Linked DNA regions of Lepisosteus oculatus. The protein of the gene in region 2 interacts with the protein of the main gene of each other region in a pairwise test. Links are inferred from orthologs where the notes say so. Each region holds a gene or a part of one and is shown on either strand. Other genes may lie near its edges.

Region 1 (3,750 bases), on a different chromosome or scaffold from region 2:
TTATAACAACATTATCACTAGGTGACAGCAACCATTATAATTTTAAAACAAGCACTTAATTGTTAATATTTTCCTGTACCAATTTTCCTGGATGCAAGAGGCATCCATCAGCCCACATTAACTGTGAATTAGGCGTGGCGGTTGAGGTTGCTGTGATCAGGCCTGTCTTACACTGACAGCTATTTTTGCTGACAGTAAAATGGTGATTGGTATTGCTGAATAACACAGTTGGAATTTCCTGCGACCTCACAGAGAAGTTTAGGAAGACTGTGTGAACATCTATTAAACATTTTTATCTATCACCATTACATGTTTTACTCCAGCCCCTTTTAGAAAGACAGCACATACAGTATAAGCATTTAAAGTTTAAGTGTCTTTATTTTTAATTTACTCTTATGTGGTTTCAATATTTAAATGGAAATGAAAATAACTTTCCACATGTTTATGCAGACTTAAACTAGCATTAAACAATAACACATACTGGAACAGAATGGGTGATGTTTTTCTAATTTTTGCTGTGCAAGTAGAGACTTTTACAGAACCAGATGTAAACTCTGTTCTATTTTGCACCTCATCCTGATGTCATATCTCAAATGAAAATTTTAGGAAGGGATTTGTAAAACAGAACCACAAATAAATTTATAATCGGTACAATAAAATTACAGCTTAGACAAGTGATTTTTTCTTCTAGCTACCAATCAAAATTCTTACACTTTGGTCCTCAATTTCCATTATGCTAGCCCACAACAAAACATTCAGCGGTATTACTTCTAAGCCTGATACATAAGTTTAGTTATTTAAAAGATAACACTGCTCCCAGTGAAGATAGTGCTCATCATCAGTAGTGTTTCTTTTTAGCAACAAAATCATTATTGTGATTTGGCAATCATTACAAACAACAGGCATTCAAAGCAGATAACAACGTATTTCCCATTAAAACGAACTAACCTGCAGATTAAAAGGTTTTGTTTACTATTAAAAGTAATTGCAATGAGGAATACTGCATTTCCTTTGTTATAGGAAACCTCATTAAATATTTTAGAGCTCATAATACATTTGTATTACCGTTACTCAAAATGCTTTGCTGTTTTAAAGCAGATCCAACATTTCTGTGGTACTATTTTTGTGAAGGATGAAAACCATGGTGCCACTTTATTGATCTGTGTAAACAGATTTGTTCCAACGCAAAAAAGTTTATTTGCTTATTAGGACAAAATGGTTGTAAATAAAGCCCTTTATTTAATATATGGCTGTCAAATATTTTTTTAAATTATTTAAATACATGCCCTCATAACTTTTCCAACTTGGTCAAGTCATAATCCCAAAGCTTGACAAGAAGGTTTTAGTGGACGGCCATATAATGTTATTTACCCTAAAAGTGCAACAACCAGAATGCCAATAATATTTATTTACAATATTCCACACCACATTTTCACTTTCGACTTCGGCAATATCAAATAGCCGGTGTCACCCAAAGATTTGTGAACAATTCCGTCATTAGAGCTTGCAAGTTACCATTTGCCAGCTTTTCGGAATTTAATGTAATCATTTTAATTGGAAAGAATGAAAATCCAGGAAGTGATCCTTTTTCATCACTATCCTAACCCCACCGGCTCAAAAACAAGGCGCGACAAATCGGCTGTAAAGTGATTTTTTAAAGACGGCAGTCGTACACCTGGGTTTCGGAGTGACATCTAGGAGCATTTGTGCAGTTTCCCATTTCAATCAAGAAAACAGCGTTTCTCAAAATATTTTATTTAGAGTTTCTTAAATCCAAAGCACTTACCTTTAACAGTGTTCAACGGAAGAATGCCGATATACCAGAAACACAGTGTCCAGGGAGAGAAAAGTGGCTCAGAATAGGAAGAAGGCCAGACCCTTTTTTGCAGTTATAATTTCACCTCCGTTTCCAGTGTGACAGCGCAAACTGACACCGCCGCTTATTCGTCCACCTTAACATAAGAAATCCCGATTCTCTTTCACCCAGGATTCCCTTGGCATTAATTTAGGACAGGGTTGTTTTAATTATTATTATTTTTTCCAGCCGTCTCTTTATATTCTTTTCTTCCTCAGAGAGCTGCCGCTAGAAGAAGCGTCTTTCTCCTGCTACTCGAGTCCCCTTCCCCAAACGGCTCCGGCTCCCTGTCTCTTCCTCGCTCGCCAGCTTCTCGGGGTGACCCGATGACGCCGCAATGCCCGGATGTGTGCGGCTAGGGTGGAGGCGGACGCTGATGATTTCATTTAAGATAGAACGATAGTGTCACGCGTTCATAGGGTGTAGTGTCATGGACAAAGAAGAAGCGAAAACATATCGATATCTACTGTATAAACACAATGTGCATATTCTGAGTTTTTGCGGATGTAGGGAGAGTTACAACATATTGCTTTATTTGAACTGAACTGCTAATATAATCGTTGTTTGCCTTATTTACAAGTTATCAAATACAGTTAACTCCTTACAACCTCAAAATGTGCTTGAAAACGTGTTTAATCAGACATGATAAATGTAAAAACCGGAAAAATCTTTTACGATAACCTTCATTACTACTGCCCAATGGGTCTCCGATCTACTGTGAACTGTTATCTCGTTTTTTCTTTCTCTTCTACTCGGAAACAACAAGCACCTTAGAAATGAAAGTACAGTATATGTACATGAAACCACTGATACATTTAAACAGCTTAAAAGATGTTGTCATTAAATACTATTTCAACTCTTTTTCTGTTGCTTAACAAAAAGTAGTTTTTTATAGCAGACAGACGTATTATAAATAAATTCACACATAATAAAATCCAGTACGGTAGAAAGAATCAGTTATTATAAATTATGTTAGTCCATACTTTATAGTTAAAAGTTTAAAGTCTGTGGATTTAGGAAAAGGTAAGTCTTTAGAAATTGTATAGGTGAGTCAGTACTTAAGAATATCTGTAAGGTAATAAAAGATCATAGCCTAGAGTTATCTGAAATTCCTATTATTAGATAAACCTAGTATCCTTTGACACACCCTTCAATCTGGAGAAAAAATGAATTTTTATAACCTTTCTACAAAATTAATGCGAGTCTTACTTCTTTCACAGAGAAACAACGACCTCTACTGGGGAAATACATCTGTATCTGCAACTTTTTAGATTTTTTATGGATATCTCTCTTAATTACACAAAGGATGTTAAGATACTAAAAGAATGAGGATATCCAGTTCATCAATTGGTGTCCTGTTCGCTTGAGTTAAAATAAAAGTATAAAGTCTAGTGGTTATTTAATCTAGCTCACTCCCTTACTTTCAGAAGTTAAGCATTGGAACAGCTTAGTCAACTATTGTGATGTTGAGGTTGAGCGTATTTAGACAGTTAGTGATAGGAAGGAGGCAAGCAAGCTGTTATTCTGGCTCTGAGAAAGCTTTTATTGCCTTTTTTATTTACAGTGGGTGTGCTATCCACAGGGGTTAGGCAAACCAGGTTGAAGATGAGAAGAAGAGAGAGATATGCTGATCCTCAACAGTTCCAGGTGAGAAAAGAGCAAGCAGGGGTCTCTCAGTCCTTTTAAAGGGGTAAAGGGCAGGAAAGAGGGAGCCAGATGAGAAAGGGCAAGGAATGAGCAGATCGACAGACTCCCCCCTTCCCCACCAGGTCCCTTGTCCTCAGGAGAGACTTGGTAGTCTCACAATTGGATTGGTCTCTGTCTCTGTCTGCTCCTCAGGGAATGGCATGATCTGGGTCACGGAGACTGGGACGGTGTAGTCAGGAACACTGCGA
Region 2 (3,750 bases):
TTCGACCGACAGATGTTGGGTGTTTTCAGCGGTGACTGGTTTTACACAGACAGACTGTGGCAGCGCTCCCAGCCGTACCTATCAGAGCCCAAAAGTTGTAGGAGGCCAGGTGCTGTCGGAAAGTGGCCTTCGTCTCCTTAGGGATCAAAGGGCCCATAATGCTGGAGGAGGAGCCGATCACAACATTATACCTGTGAGGAAAACAATCAGTAACGAGCTCAGGTCTGTGGTGGTAATCAGGTGTCAGGACAGCACACATACACATATGAAAGGTGTCAGTGACACAGCTAATTGATGGACAGTTTTCAGAATACAACCACCGTCCTGTGAAGTCCTGCTGTATTCTAGTTTAAAAGGTGTCAAAATGATTGGCTAATCATTAGCAAATGATAAATTCCTGTAGGAGAATTCTGGAATGCTATCAAAGCTAGAAAACAATGTAGTTCTCCAGAAGCTGGGTTAAAGACCGCTGCTGTATCTGTTATGCAATTAAAACAAATCCACGGTTGCCTCATCAAAATCTAGTTATGTTTATTTCTATTCTAAAACTAGTTACAAACCTGCCCTGACCCTGCACTGTATGCTCTAATGTTCTTCACTCCTGAGCTCTGCAGCTCTTTCTAGACTTGCCTCTTTTCAATCCAGTCCAGTACGGGGTCCCACTCGTTGTTCTGCAGCTCCACCAGCCCTGGGGGCTCCTCCACCCTATAGCTGCCCGGAGGCAGAAAGAAACCAGTGAAACAACCATCACCCGCAGCTCAGGAGCCAGCCCCTGTCACAGGGATCTGAACACAAACACTAGGCAGCAAAGTAAGAGTCTGAAGTCTGCGCCAGATTGCTCCCTTGACACAGTAAAGCAAAACAACGGAAATGACCATGAACACAGACAGCTGGCAAAAGAGTGGTTTCAAGGGAAGAGGAAAGGGACCCTAATTACAGGCTCAGATAAATTTCTTCCACCCCAAGCCTGCCTTTTGACTGGCACAGCCTGTGCCCACCCCATGGTGCCGAGTGCCAGGGAAAGTGCGCAGCTCGGCCACTCCCGACTCACCAGACGGTGTCGGTCTCCAGGAACTTGAGCGCGGCTGTGATCACCTGCTCCTTGTTCCTCTGAGTGGGGTTGTCCAGAGCCGTGTTGCACAGTGTGGTCTGGGAGAGACAGAGCGGGGCCTGTTACCTCAGCCCTTCAACATCTCAAGAGAAACTTCCAGAGATTCGGGTTCCTGAATGCTGGAATATTGTCCTAATTAGAATTAAGAGTTTATTCCCTTTGGAATAAACCAGAATGGTTCCTTTCGGGGATTTCTTTGGCTTCCGATCATACAAAAGAACCCAGTGGAAACTAAATGAGTACACAAGTGGCTGATGGTTTTCTGACTCCAGAGGTTAATACGCAAATCCCGGCAGGCAGTGGCCACAGTGGGGGATACACCCTGGACAGGACTCTCAGGACACAGGCCCCACACGCTGCCCGCTGCGAGCTGAGGTTCCTACCAGGTGCATCGTGTAGAACTTGAGAGTGTCCTTCTGGGAATCCCACTCCGTCGCCACGGCAACTGCCAAGACTTCGCTGGGCACTGTGAACAACTTCCCTCCCGGGGTCTTCAGCTTCCCGCGGTCCAGGTTTATCTCAAACAGCCCACCTGCAGGCGCAGGAGACCGGGCGCTGAACAGCACGGCACATCACTCAGCCTGAGCCGATCCGGACCTCGTCTGCACATTCCTCACCACAGCGGAGCACTGAGACACTGTTTCACACACTTATCCACTTGCAGAACAATACAAAATACAAGACAAATACAGCTCTGCTGGAGACGGGCAAGATCAGCCAAACGGCTTGCTGTCGTTTCTTTCTTTCTTTTTTAGTTTTTATTGAATCGTCATAAATACAAAAAGGAGACACAATATTAAAACAAAACTGTTATCTGTTACAGTCTACCTCAGGAAAAAAACAGGATGTGTTTCATACCGCACCTTGTCCTTGTGAAATACTGACGTCCTGGTAGAACTTCTTCCTCCCTGTGGATACAAGCAAATACGAATATCTGATTGAACCGGGCAATTAAAAACAGAGAGAATGTATTTTCATGATCTAACCTAGAGACGTCACCATGGTTGTGTAAGAACGGAACACAAGAATACATTTGCCGCATTACGGGCATCCAGCTTGTTGTGCAATTACATCGGAATCAGCGATTGACTAACAAAGCGACACGAGTTCCCACACGCCGGGCAGAACCCGGCTCTTACCCGGGGTCGCAGTAGAGTATGCCGGCGAGCTTGCAGCGACACAGCCGCACGGTGACTGGACAGCGGTGCCGCCTCTCCTGCACAACCGGGCCAGACCCCGCAACATCTCTCTGACAGATTCTTCTTATTTCGGGAATCACGACCTCAAATCGATTTCATGCGCTTTTGCAGGGTAACCAAAGCATTAAAGCATGTCATAGGGACTTATGACACTTGATTAAATTATGCATTATCACACTGCATTATCGAATCCTAGTTACCCGGCAATCAATACACATATATTTTAATGGTGTTTTTGGACGTGTTCCCCTTTAAAGAATCGCATTCCCAGGGTCAGTCATAACCTGCTCAACCGCATGGGCGCCGCCATGTCAGTGACCTCAAGCGCGTCACTGCTCCTCGGACACGCTCTCCAATGGCCGCTGGGAAACCTGAGGAACGGGGCGGAAACAGTCCGAAGGTCACTGAGGTGGGTTATGGGAGGTGGAGTTCGACTGCGGGAGAACGGAGGAAAAACTACAGATCGGGGCTAGAAGACCTACAAGTCCCAAAATGCATTTCAGAAGGCCATCCAATGAGCGGCGGTTTCTTTGCCAGGTGCGCTCCCCTGGCCAATAGGCTGGCGGGATGTTGCTGCGTGGTGCTGCGTTGAGGTCCCTACTGTTTGCTGGGACCCTGGTAGCGCATCTCTCGGCGGCTGGGGAGAATTCGTGAGTCGGTGAGCCGCCTCGACAGTTCTCCCCCTGTCCCCTTTTTGTTACCGTCTCTGTGGCGTACGTCGGCCATAGCTGGGGCGACCTTCAGACGTGATAAACATGCCGGTCCGGACCGAGTGCTGCAGTACCGCCTGTGCGGCCTTTATAGCCTCGGCCTCGCTTATCCCGCCTCCCCCAATCAACACGCAGCAGCCGGGTGTCGCCACCTCGCTCCTGTACAGCGGCTCCAAGTTCCGCGGACACCAGAAGAGCAAAGGGAATTCGTACGATGTCGAGGTTGTTTTGCAGGTAAGTAAGAAACGAAGAGTATTTATACCGGAGCCTAGTGTCATCGACTAACATACAATCTGGCCAGTAAAACGACGTAATATTATCATAGACGTATTAATATCACTGGGGAGGTGATTAACTAAAAACTTGTAGACGCGTTTCTCAGTTGAGATCAATCTCACATTAAGTTGTGTTGAAATCGTTCTTATCCCTGTGGTGTTATCGAGGTGGATTGTGGTGTTTTTGTTTTCAATCTTTCACTGTTTCAGTTTTATTGAGAACTTCTTCTTAGCTCGAACAGCCCCAGTAAAAAGTCGACTGTAGCAATTTCTAACCTCCTAGGACTGTGTTGTTTGACTTAAAATAATTTATAAGTGTTAAATACAACAATATTGGAGGTTCTAAGGCTTATGCTTTTCAGGTTAGGCTTGGTACCAAAAGCACAACAGTCACTGAAGACATCCAGATCCTCAGTTGCCCTCTTCATAGTCGTCACAGCAGCCAGACCTGCGCT

Evidence for each region. The genes of interacting proteins can lie anywhere in the genome.
Region 1: the proteins of atpaf2 (region 2) and lrrfip2 interact in binary tests that used the Homo sapiens proteins (3 or more experiments, as listed by UniProt). The two-hybrid records come from large-scale screens. The link is inferred for Lepisosteus oculatus from reciprocal best matches to the Homo sapiens genes ATPAF2 and LRRFIP2.

Annotation. Positions count from the first base shown.
Region 1 is NC_090705.1:25,398,410-25,402,159, reverse strand, and holds the start of lrrfip2 (leucine-rich repeat flightless-interacting protein 2), read right to left. Parts: upstream 2,209-3,750; 5' UTR 1,787-2,208; intron 1-1,786. UniProt on the Homo sapiens protein: May function as activator of the canonical Wnt signaling pathway, in association with DVL3, upstream of CTNNB1/beta-catenin.
Region 2 is NC_090714.1:17,606,828-17,610,577, forward strand, and holds the start of atpaf2 (ATP synthase mitochondrial F1 complex assembly factor 2), read right to left. Parts: upstream 2,593-3,750; 5' UTR 2,357-2,592; coding exon 2,251-2,356; intron 2,020-2,250; coding exon 1,975-2,019; intron 1,644-1,974; coding exon 1,495-1,643; intron 1,150-1,494; coding exon 1,052-1,149; intron 712-1,051; coding exon 631-711; intron 192-630; coding exon 79-191; intron 1-78. Other genes in the region: gid4 (glucose-induced degradation protein 4 homolog), read left to right, coding at 3,066-3,254. UniProt on the Homo sapiens protein: Plays a role in the assembly of the F1 component of the mitochondrial ATP synthase (ATPase).